2 linked regions of the Canis lupus familiaris genome follow. The protein of the gene in region 1 binds, or shares a complex with, the protein of each later gene. Links are inferred from orthologs where the notes say so. Each region holds a gene or a part of one and is shown on either strand. Other genes may lie near its edges.

Region 1 (3,647 bases):
TTATCCTCTCTGTAACCACTTCTCTATCCCTCCCTGTATATGGGACACAGAGTTTCCTACATCTCAAGTGGAGAGGCCATGGAATGGAAGCAGGAGAAGCCTGAGCTGGGTCCTTTTCATTGATATAAAGGGCCTAGAGAGAAGAGGGATGAGGACTGGGCTGGTGCCCTGCTGTCTGGTTGAACCCTGTACCTAGTGTAGTCCTTGACTTTTAACATTCAATCCCTGCCTCCAACTCTGTGTCACTCCTAATAGCATCTAATAATATTTCATGTGCCCACACTGATCCTCTCAGACCTCCACTTCCTTACTTGGTCAGTGAATTCAGTTTGCAACTCAACAGATGTGTGGTGAGTACTATTTTGTGCTCAAAATAGTGAAAGTGAGTTTGCAGTATCTTCAAAGAGATTATAGTCCAGTGGCAGAGGGGAGGTGTGTACATCACAAAACTGACGCCAAGAGGAAAGTGGTAAGTATCATAAGAGAAGTAAAAGGTATCTTTGGGGGTTTGGAGGCAGAGGAGTATCTTGGGGGACAGAGCTTCTGGCTGGAGCATTAGTGGGAAAGAGGTAATTTAGTATAGGACCTGTAATGATAAATAGGAATTAGATATGTAGGGAGAGAGGGAACCCCTTGAAAAGGCAGAGAGAGAAGCCAGAATAGGCTCTGTGTAGAGAACAAGGGAATATGGAAGAAGAGGCTTCATTTAGAGTGGGTTCAGCCAGAACTTTGGGGGTCCTTTACTTTTCTAATCTCTTATTCCTTCTCATCTAAATAAGGAAAGCTTTTGAAGAGAAGAATTTGGAGGCTGGGATTAGAAGTAGACATGTTACCAGGAGCCTTTCCAGGAAGGGGAGGCAGAAGCTGACCCTGGATCTGTATGGCCTTCTGTCTCCAGTGCAAGGCAAGGAGTGGCTGGAGTTGGAGGAAGATGCCCAGAAGGCCTATGTGATGGGACTCCTGGACCGACTGGAGGTGGTCAGTAGGGAACGGCGACTGAAGGTGGCCCGGGCTGTTCTATACCTGGCCCAAGGCAAGTGTCCACCTTTGCCAGCTTCAGATGGGTAAACACTGGGGAAAGAAATATTGCCATAAAAAAATAATAATAATAAAGAAAAAAAAAGAAATATTGCCATCAGGACTAGGATGAGGCAAGCCATGCTAAGAAAGCAAGGTCCCTACCTCTCAAGGACAGATCTTATCAAGTGCTAGAAGTAACCTGATGCTTATAAGCAAGTTAAGGAGATAGTGGTGGGTACTATTCTGGATCCCTTGGAATTGGCTTTTATCTTACCAGGCATGGCAAGATTTCTTATAAGGTACTTTTTTCCTTCATGTGGGCTATAATCATATGTGGAGAATACTTAGCAAGAGAGTCTGTGTGGCTAGAGTTGATGATATACCACCAGCTGAGCATGAAGGCTTCTTTCCTCAGCTATGGCACTGACTTCTACTAAGAGGAGACAGTGGGGTCCTGCAGATTCACACATGGACCCTCTGTATTATTTCTCTTTGGCATTTAGAGGGTTCAAGCCAGCATAGCAGCAGGAGTGGATGCAGTGGGTAATTGGGAGATGATCAGAATTCAATGAGATTAATTAAGGAAGCCTTCCCAGAAGAGACCTATTAACCATTTGTTGGAAAGAGAAATGAGATAACCTAACTGGAATAGTAAAAATAGGCCCTGAGGTCATAACAAGAGGACTTTTGGCAGAACTAACTAGCTGGGAGCAGTTTTATAAGAAAACAATAAATGGACAAGAAAGAGAGTGGTGAAAAGACAATAGCAAACGAGGCAGTGCCCTAACTGCATCTCTTGGGTCTAGTGTTCGGCCAACTTCCAACTGCTAGTACCTTTAACTTTTTACCTGAAGGCTTTCTCTGCAGTCCATATAGGGTAGCCAGGAAGTGCTAGGAAATTAATGTGCTCCCCTAGTGCAGTAGCACTGATCAATGAATGACAGGAGTTATTGGATAAATAGCCCAACTATTTCACTCTTGGGTGGGATGATTCTGAGGGTTGAAAAACCTACTGTTTCCCAGAGCTTCCTCCATCCTGGATTTCAGCTCTTGGCTGCCTTTTCTTCCCTAGCTTAACTTCCCCACTTCTCTACTAATGGTTCCTGGGATCATCTTCCAAATAAACTACTTATATTTGAATCCTCTCTGGATCTGCTTTTCAGGGAACTCAAACTTAAGACAGGCCAGTGATAAGCACATTGGACCTGACTCTGGAGACTATTTCTCCTCTTTCCTGCCTCATTCAAGGAAGTTCTGGGGGCCCTTGTCCTACCTTTGTCAGCCTAATTGTTGGTCAGGGTGTTGGAAAATAGTCTTAAGATCATGGGGCAGAGTGGAAAGAACTGGATACCCCTCTTACCCTCAACCCCACATGGCAACTGTCTGGTTCTTTAGGTACTTTTGGGGAATGTGATTCGGAGGTTGATGTGCTACACTGGTCCAGATACAACTGCTTCCTGCTCTATCAGATGGGGACCTTCTCTACCTTCTTGGAGCTACTCCACATGGAAATTGAGTGAGAAGCCTTAGGGGAGGGCTGGCCTAGATAAACCCCTTCCTTGAAGGGTGTTTCATGTCCTATACTGATTCCCTCACTATAGAGACCTCTATGGGAGCAGTGTCTATTCACACCTCAGTCCAAAGCTTATTGATGGTTTCCCTTTATCCAGCCATCCTCTCTGATATTTTGTCCTCCCTGAGGTTGGGAGGACAACATCAACAGCTTCTGCCCCCACTTACAGCTTCAGTCCTGGGTCTTAGGGCCCTACCCTAGATGGGTTCCCTTTTTATCTAAACACCTCAATTCAGCCTAACTCTGGAATCCATGAAGGAAATTGTTTTACCTGGAAACATGACCCAAGAGGGACAGGATCAATTTCTGTTGCTGTACCCAATTCTTTCCCTCATAGGTCACAGCTCTAGAGGTGGCCTTATCTGTTGCTACCACTGTAGAGATCCCTCATTTTATCTCATGCCTATTATCCAGAAGTTCAAATAGGGCAGATTACAAGTGTTGCTTAGCATCTATTTTGTGTTCAGCATGGTACTAGGCACAGTGTGGATTATAAGAGGAGGCATCATCACAGACCCTGCCTTTGCCCTTCACCACAGATAAGGGTTAACAGAGATGGCAGAGGAATTCGGTGGGCTCCTTTACCTTAGACCAATTTCTTTTAGCTACATAGCCAGGGAATAGCAGAGGTTTTATAAGTTCCTATTCTCTCCCTCGTCCCCATGGCAGCAACAGCCAGGCCTGTAGCAGTGCTCTTCGGAAACCAGCCATCTCCATTGCTGATAGTACAGAGCTCAGGTAAGTGGAGCTGGCCCTGGGATTGGACAGGGGATAGTTAGCAGTGGGTTACCAGATACACCTGGACTGCTAATAGTTGCTAATTCCACTGGGTTGGGCTCCCACAGAGATCATCCCTGAGGTTTCTGGCTACAGGTTGGGAGCTGCTTTGGGAATCTCTTGTAACCCTTCCATAACTCCAGGGTGCTGCTGAGTGTCATGTACCTATTGGTGGAAAATATCCGCCTGGAGAGAGAGACGGACTCCTGCCGGTGGAGGACAGTGCGGGAGACCTTCCGCACTGAATTGAGTAAGAAGTGGCAACCTGAGGAAGGGT
Region 2 (3,747 bases), on another chromosome or scaffold:
TCTGATGCCCCTAAGACTTGAGAGTTACTGTTCCTGCATATTCCAAACGGCCCTTCCTACTGCTTCCTTACACTTGCAAGCTGGAGATGGTACCATCCTCACTCCCCCTTTCCCGGGCTCTCTGTCCCTCTGATATTCTTCGTAATATGTAGTCTGGATGGTGTTTGTGTCAGTGTAAGGTTGGGGCTTTCTTACTGCTCAGGGACACTTATTGGCCATCGGTCATTGTGCTCAGGGACATGGGTATCGAAGTGAGTAAGACACAGTCCCCGAGTTCCCTCAGCTTTTAGTGAGTGAGATTGTGTGCTCTAGGAGAATGGCCAGTTCAGGGAAATGACAGATGCAGTTCATGTAGGTTGAGCTTGAGATGTCCACATAGAAATATATATTTAGCAAGTAATTGATCTTAGGAGTTAAAATTCAAAAAAAAAAAAAATAGAATTCAAAAAGCAGGGCTGGAGTTAGCAATTTGAAAGTTACCATGTACATGATGATTTAAAACCGTTTTTCCTCAAAGGTGGCTATTCATCAGAATCAATTGGAGTCTTTATTTTTAAAGATTTTATTTATTTAGTTAGAGTGAGAGAACACGAGCAGGGGGAGGGAGAAGCAGACTCCCCACTGAGCAAGGAGCCCAATGTGGGGCTCTGTCCCAGGACCCTGAGATCATGACCTGAGCCACCCAAGTGTCCCTATTTGGGGTGTCTAACAATATGGATTATGCACCCCTGCCCCATGTATGACAGAGAGTGATTTGGGATCTCCCACATGTTCCAGGTGATTCTGAGCAGCTAGGTTTGGGGAACACAATCCCAAACAATGAAAACTGTTTGAGGAGAATAAGTAGAGAATGGGTGGGCAGCCAGCATGGAGCCCCCAGGGGCATGCCTGTGATGCAGCCGCCAGGGTGGAGTCTGTGCAGGAAGATCCTCTGGGACTGGGGGGATGGGGAGTAGACAAGTGGGAGAGCAGGGTTTAGATGCCAGGACTGGAAAGTTACCAGAGGGAGGGCTTCTTGGAGGAGGATCAGATTAGGCACTGCAGTGGTGGCCTCAGCTGGAGCCAGACTGTGGCGGTGACCAGCGAGGGGCGGGGCGCCTGGCTGGTCTCGGTGACTTGCAGGGAACTCTCAAGGAAGGAAGGAGAGCGTGAAGGAGAGAGGTGACCAGGGAAGCCCAGTGTTTCTGTTTTTCTCAATGGGAGAAAACTGAGCAGGCTGCCAGGAGTGGTGGGTCTGTAGAGAGGGCTGAATGGAAGAGGCCTCTGGTGTAGGGGGCTGATGCTGCTGAAGCTGTATCCAGGGGACAGAAGGATGGATTCAAAAGCTCAGCGCTCAGGACTGGCCTTGAAGAAGAGGAGGGCCACCCCCCCTCATCCTGGAGGGATGGAGGTGAGGGAAGGGGTTTGGAGATGGGAGTTTCTAGCTGCTGAATGTGGACGTCTCTCTCGTGTCCCTTTTTCCTGGCAACCCCGGGATGCACTCCTTGCTTACTTTGTTCATTTTAAATGATGGGGTTAGTGTAGTCTCAAAAACAGGGCCTCTGGGGTCTGTGAGACCACCCATGACTTAGTGTGTGCGTGTGTTGCTGGGGTGTGCTACTTCCGTGGGGTTCACGCTGCAGCACAGCAGCACCTCCGCGTTGGCAGTGGGCGGGCTGGGTTTCAGCACTTCTCTGGAGGCACTGCTTGGAACTCCATGTGTTTCACCTTGAAAGCAAGTTAATGGCTCGTGCCTGGTTAGCCCCTAGGGCTCACCTAGCTAATGGTGCTGCTGACCTTGCTGTAATTCTCTCTCGATCCCCTCATCACTCCCCCTCCCAGAGACCCCCTCCCCCCACCATGCCTGTTATACTCTCTCCCTTTTCAGCCCTCCTCCTTCCCCATCTTCCTTCCTTCTCCATGTTTCAGTTTCTTAGAAGGACTGGTAGACATGGAGGGTGGGCCTGGCATCCTCTTGTTCATGAGCAGCATTTTTGAGGGGAGGTGTGTGAGGTGGTGGCTCCCAGGGTCCTGTCTTACTCTGTGAGGTTTCAAGTGGTGCCAGCAGTATTTGTGCCGAGCTAGGCAGTGTCCCCAAGTCTTCTTGCCGAATGTCAGTTTCGCCCCTCAGTTTGTGACTGACACCCCCCGGGGATGACAGGCTGCTGCCTGTTGAGAGAACTCAGCTGCTCACACACCTTTCTGGTCTGGGAGCTGTGAGGATGGGTGTTGGAGTCCCTATGTCTGGACCCCTTGGAGATGTACACTGTGTGTATGTGGTTCACCTAATTAGCTAGTGATTGAGAGCTTTCAGAAGCTTTTCCAAGGGCATGATGTTTACAAGACAAAAGAAAACGGGTTCTTATTGTTTCCCAGGATTGGGTTAAAATGTTGAGGGCAAGGTAGTAGCCAAAGGTGAAGATGCATAGGACTGCATTTGCTGGACTTTAAACATGGCCTGTTACGAAATGATTGAGTACTAGTTAACTAGTTACAGTATATGCCTACCTAAACTTAGAAAATTTGTCGGGGAGGGGGAACAAAGGGAGAGAGTGGAATATTTGCGTAACAAGAGTGTTTTTCAATAAATTCATATATCCTAACACTTTGTCTTGGTTTTTACTTAATTATGCAAATACTGGAGCCTTTCCCAGTTTTTATAATCAGGGTTATTGTCCTTGCTTGCATACTTGCTGTGTTTCATAGAGGTGAGGCTTAGAAATCCCTGTGTCCTAAGTGTGAGGAGCTGTGGTCACAACCAGCCTGACCCTCAGATGAAGAAAATGGATCGGTTCTTGGAAGACTGTGTTCTGTGTATTTTTAAGTATGCGGGAAAATCTGTCCCTGTCTTGTGAGTTACTGAGGTCTCTTCTTTTCCTTTTCTCCTACAGAACCTGAAAGCAGATCCAGAAGAGCTTTTTACAAAACTGGAGAAAATTGGAAAGGGCTCATTTGGTGAAGTGTTCAAGGGCATTGACCTTCGGACTCAGAAAGTGGTTGCCATAAAAATCATTGACCTGGAAGAAGCTGAAGATGAGATAGAGGACATTCAGCAAGAAATCACAGTGCTGAGTCAGTGTGACAGTCCCTACGTAACCAAATATTATGGCTCCTATCTGAAGGTAAGGCTTGATAGTAAGAATGTGGTTTTCCATGGTGTAGTACTTGACCGAGTCAGAGCAGGGCGTGGAGAGGATGTCAGTAGCACAGCAGGCTGTCGGAGGAGGGAGAAATGTTCCTTTGATTCCAAAGGCACCTGGCTCTGATAGTCTTATCTTCAATGTCACCTATAGAAATATCTTTTGGTTAAAATGTTTGTTGAAGTTCCTTTCCAAGAAAAAAGCACGTCTGATTGGAACTTGGTCATCAGAGACACATTTCTTATGAAGGTATTACAACAACAACTGTGGACTTACCTAACCTTAGCATGGTTTTTTGTAAAACCTTGTGCCGACCTGAGAATCTTAGCCTTTTGATATTTTCAGTTATCAAATGTAGTTTAATTTAATGTTAAAAAAAACCCTGCTGGAACTGATAATGGTGCTTAGTGAACTAGTTTATCTACATTTGACTTTGAAGAATTCTAGGTAAGTAAACAGTGACTCAACACCACAAATTGTCCTGGATTTCATCTGATTCTGTGAGTAGGATAAAAGAGCACAGCAAATGGTTTTCCAGTCCATAATGGGACCATTTTAGATGCTGTAGGGCACTCTAGTCACACCACTAAGAGAGCGGAAGTCTGTCCCTTGTGTTCATGTCCTTTGA

What was found. Proteins that work in one complex are often made in the same cells at the same time.
Region 2: STRIP2 (region 1) and STK24 share a complex: the UniProt entries of both Homo sapiens proteins name them as parts of the core of STRIPAK complex. The link is inferred for Canis lupus familiaris from reciprocal best matches to the Homo sapiens genes STRIP2 and STK24.

Annotation. Positions count from the first base shown.
Region 1 is NC_049235.1:7,184,126-7,187,772, reverse strand, and holds part of STRIP2 (striatin-interacting protein 2), read left to right. Parts: intron 1-898; coding exon 899-1,033; intron 1,034-2,415; coding exon 2,416-2,536; intron 2,537-3,262; coding exon 3,263-3,331; intron 3,332-3,513; coding exon 3,514-3,620; intron 3,621-3,647. UniProt on the Homo sapiens protein: Plays a role in the regulation of cell morphology and cytoskeletal organization. Required in the control of cell shape. Calmodulin-binding scaffolding protein which is the center of the striatin-interacting phosphatase and kinase (STRIPAK) complexes.
Region 2 is NC_049243.1:48,811,526-48,815,272, reverse strand, and holds the start of STK24 (serine/threonine-protein kinase 24), read left to right. Parts: upstream 1-1,297; 5' UTR 1,298-1,312; coding exon 1,313-1,390; intron 1,391-2,870; coding exon 2,871-3,101; intron 3,102-3,747. UniProt on the Homo sapiens protein: Serine/threonine-protein kinase that acts on both serine and threonine residues and promotes apoptosis in response to stress stimuli and caspase activation.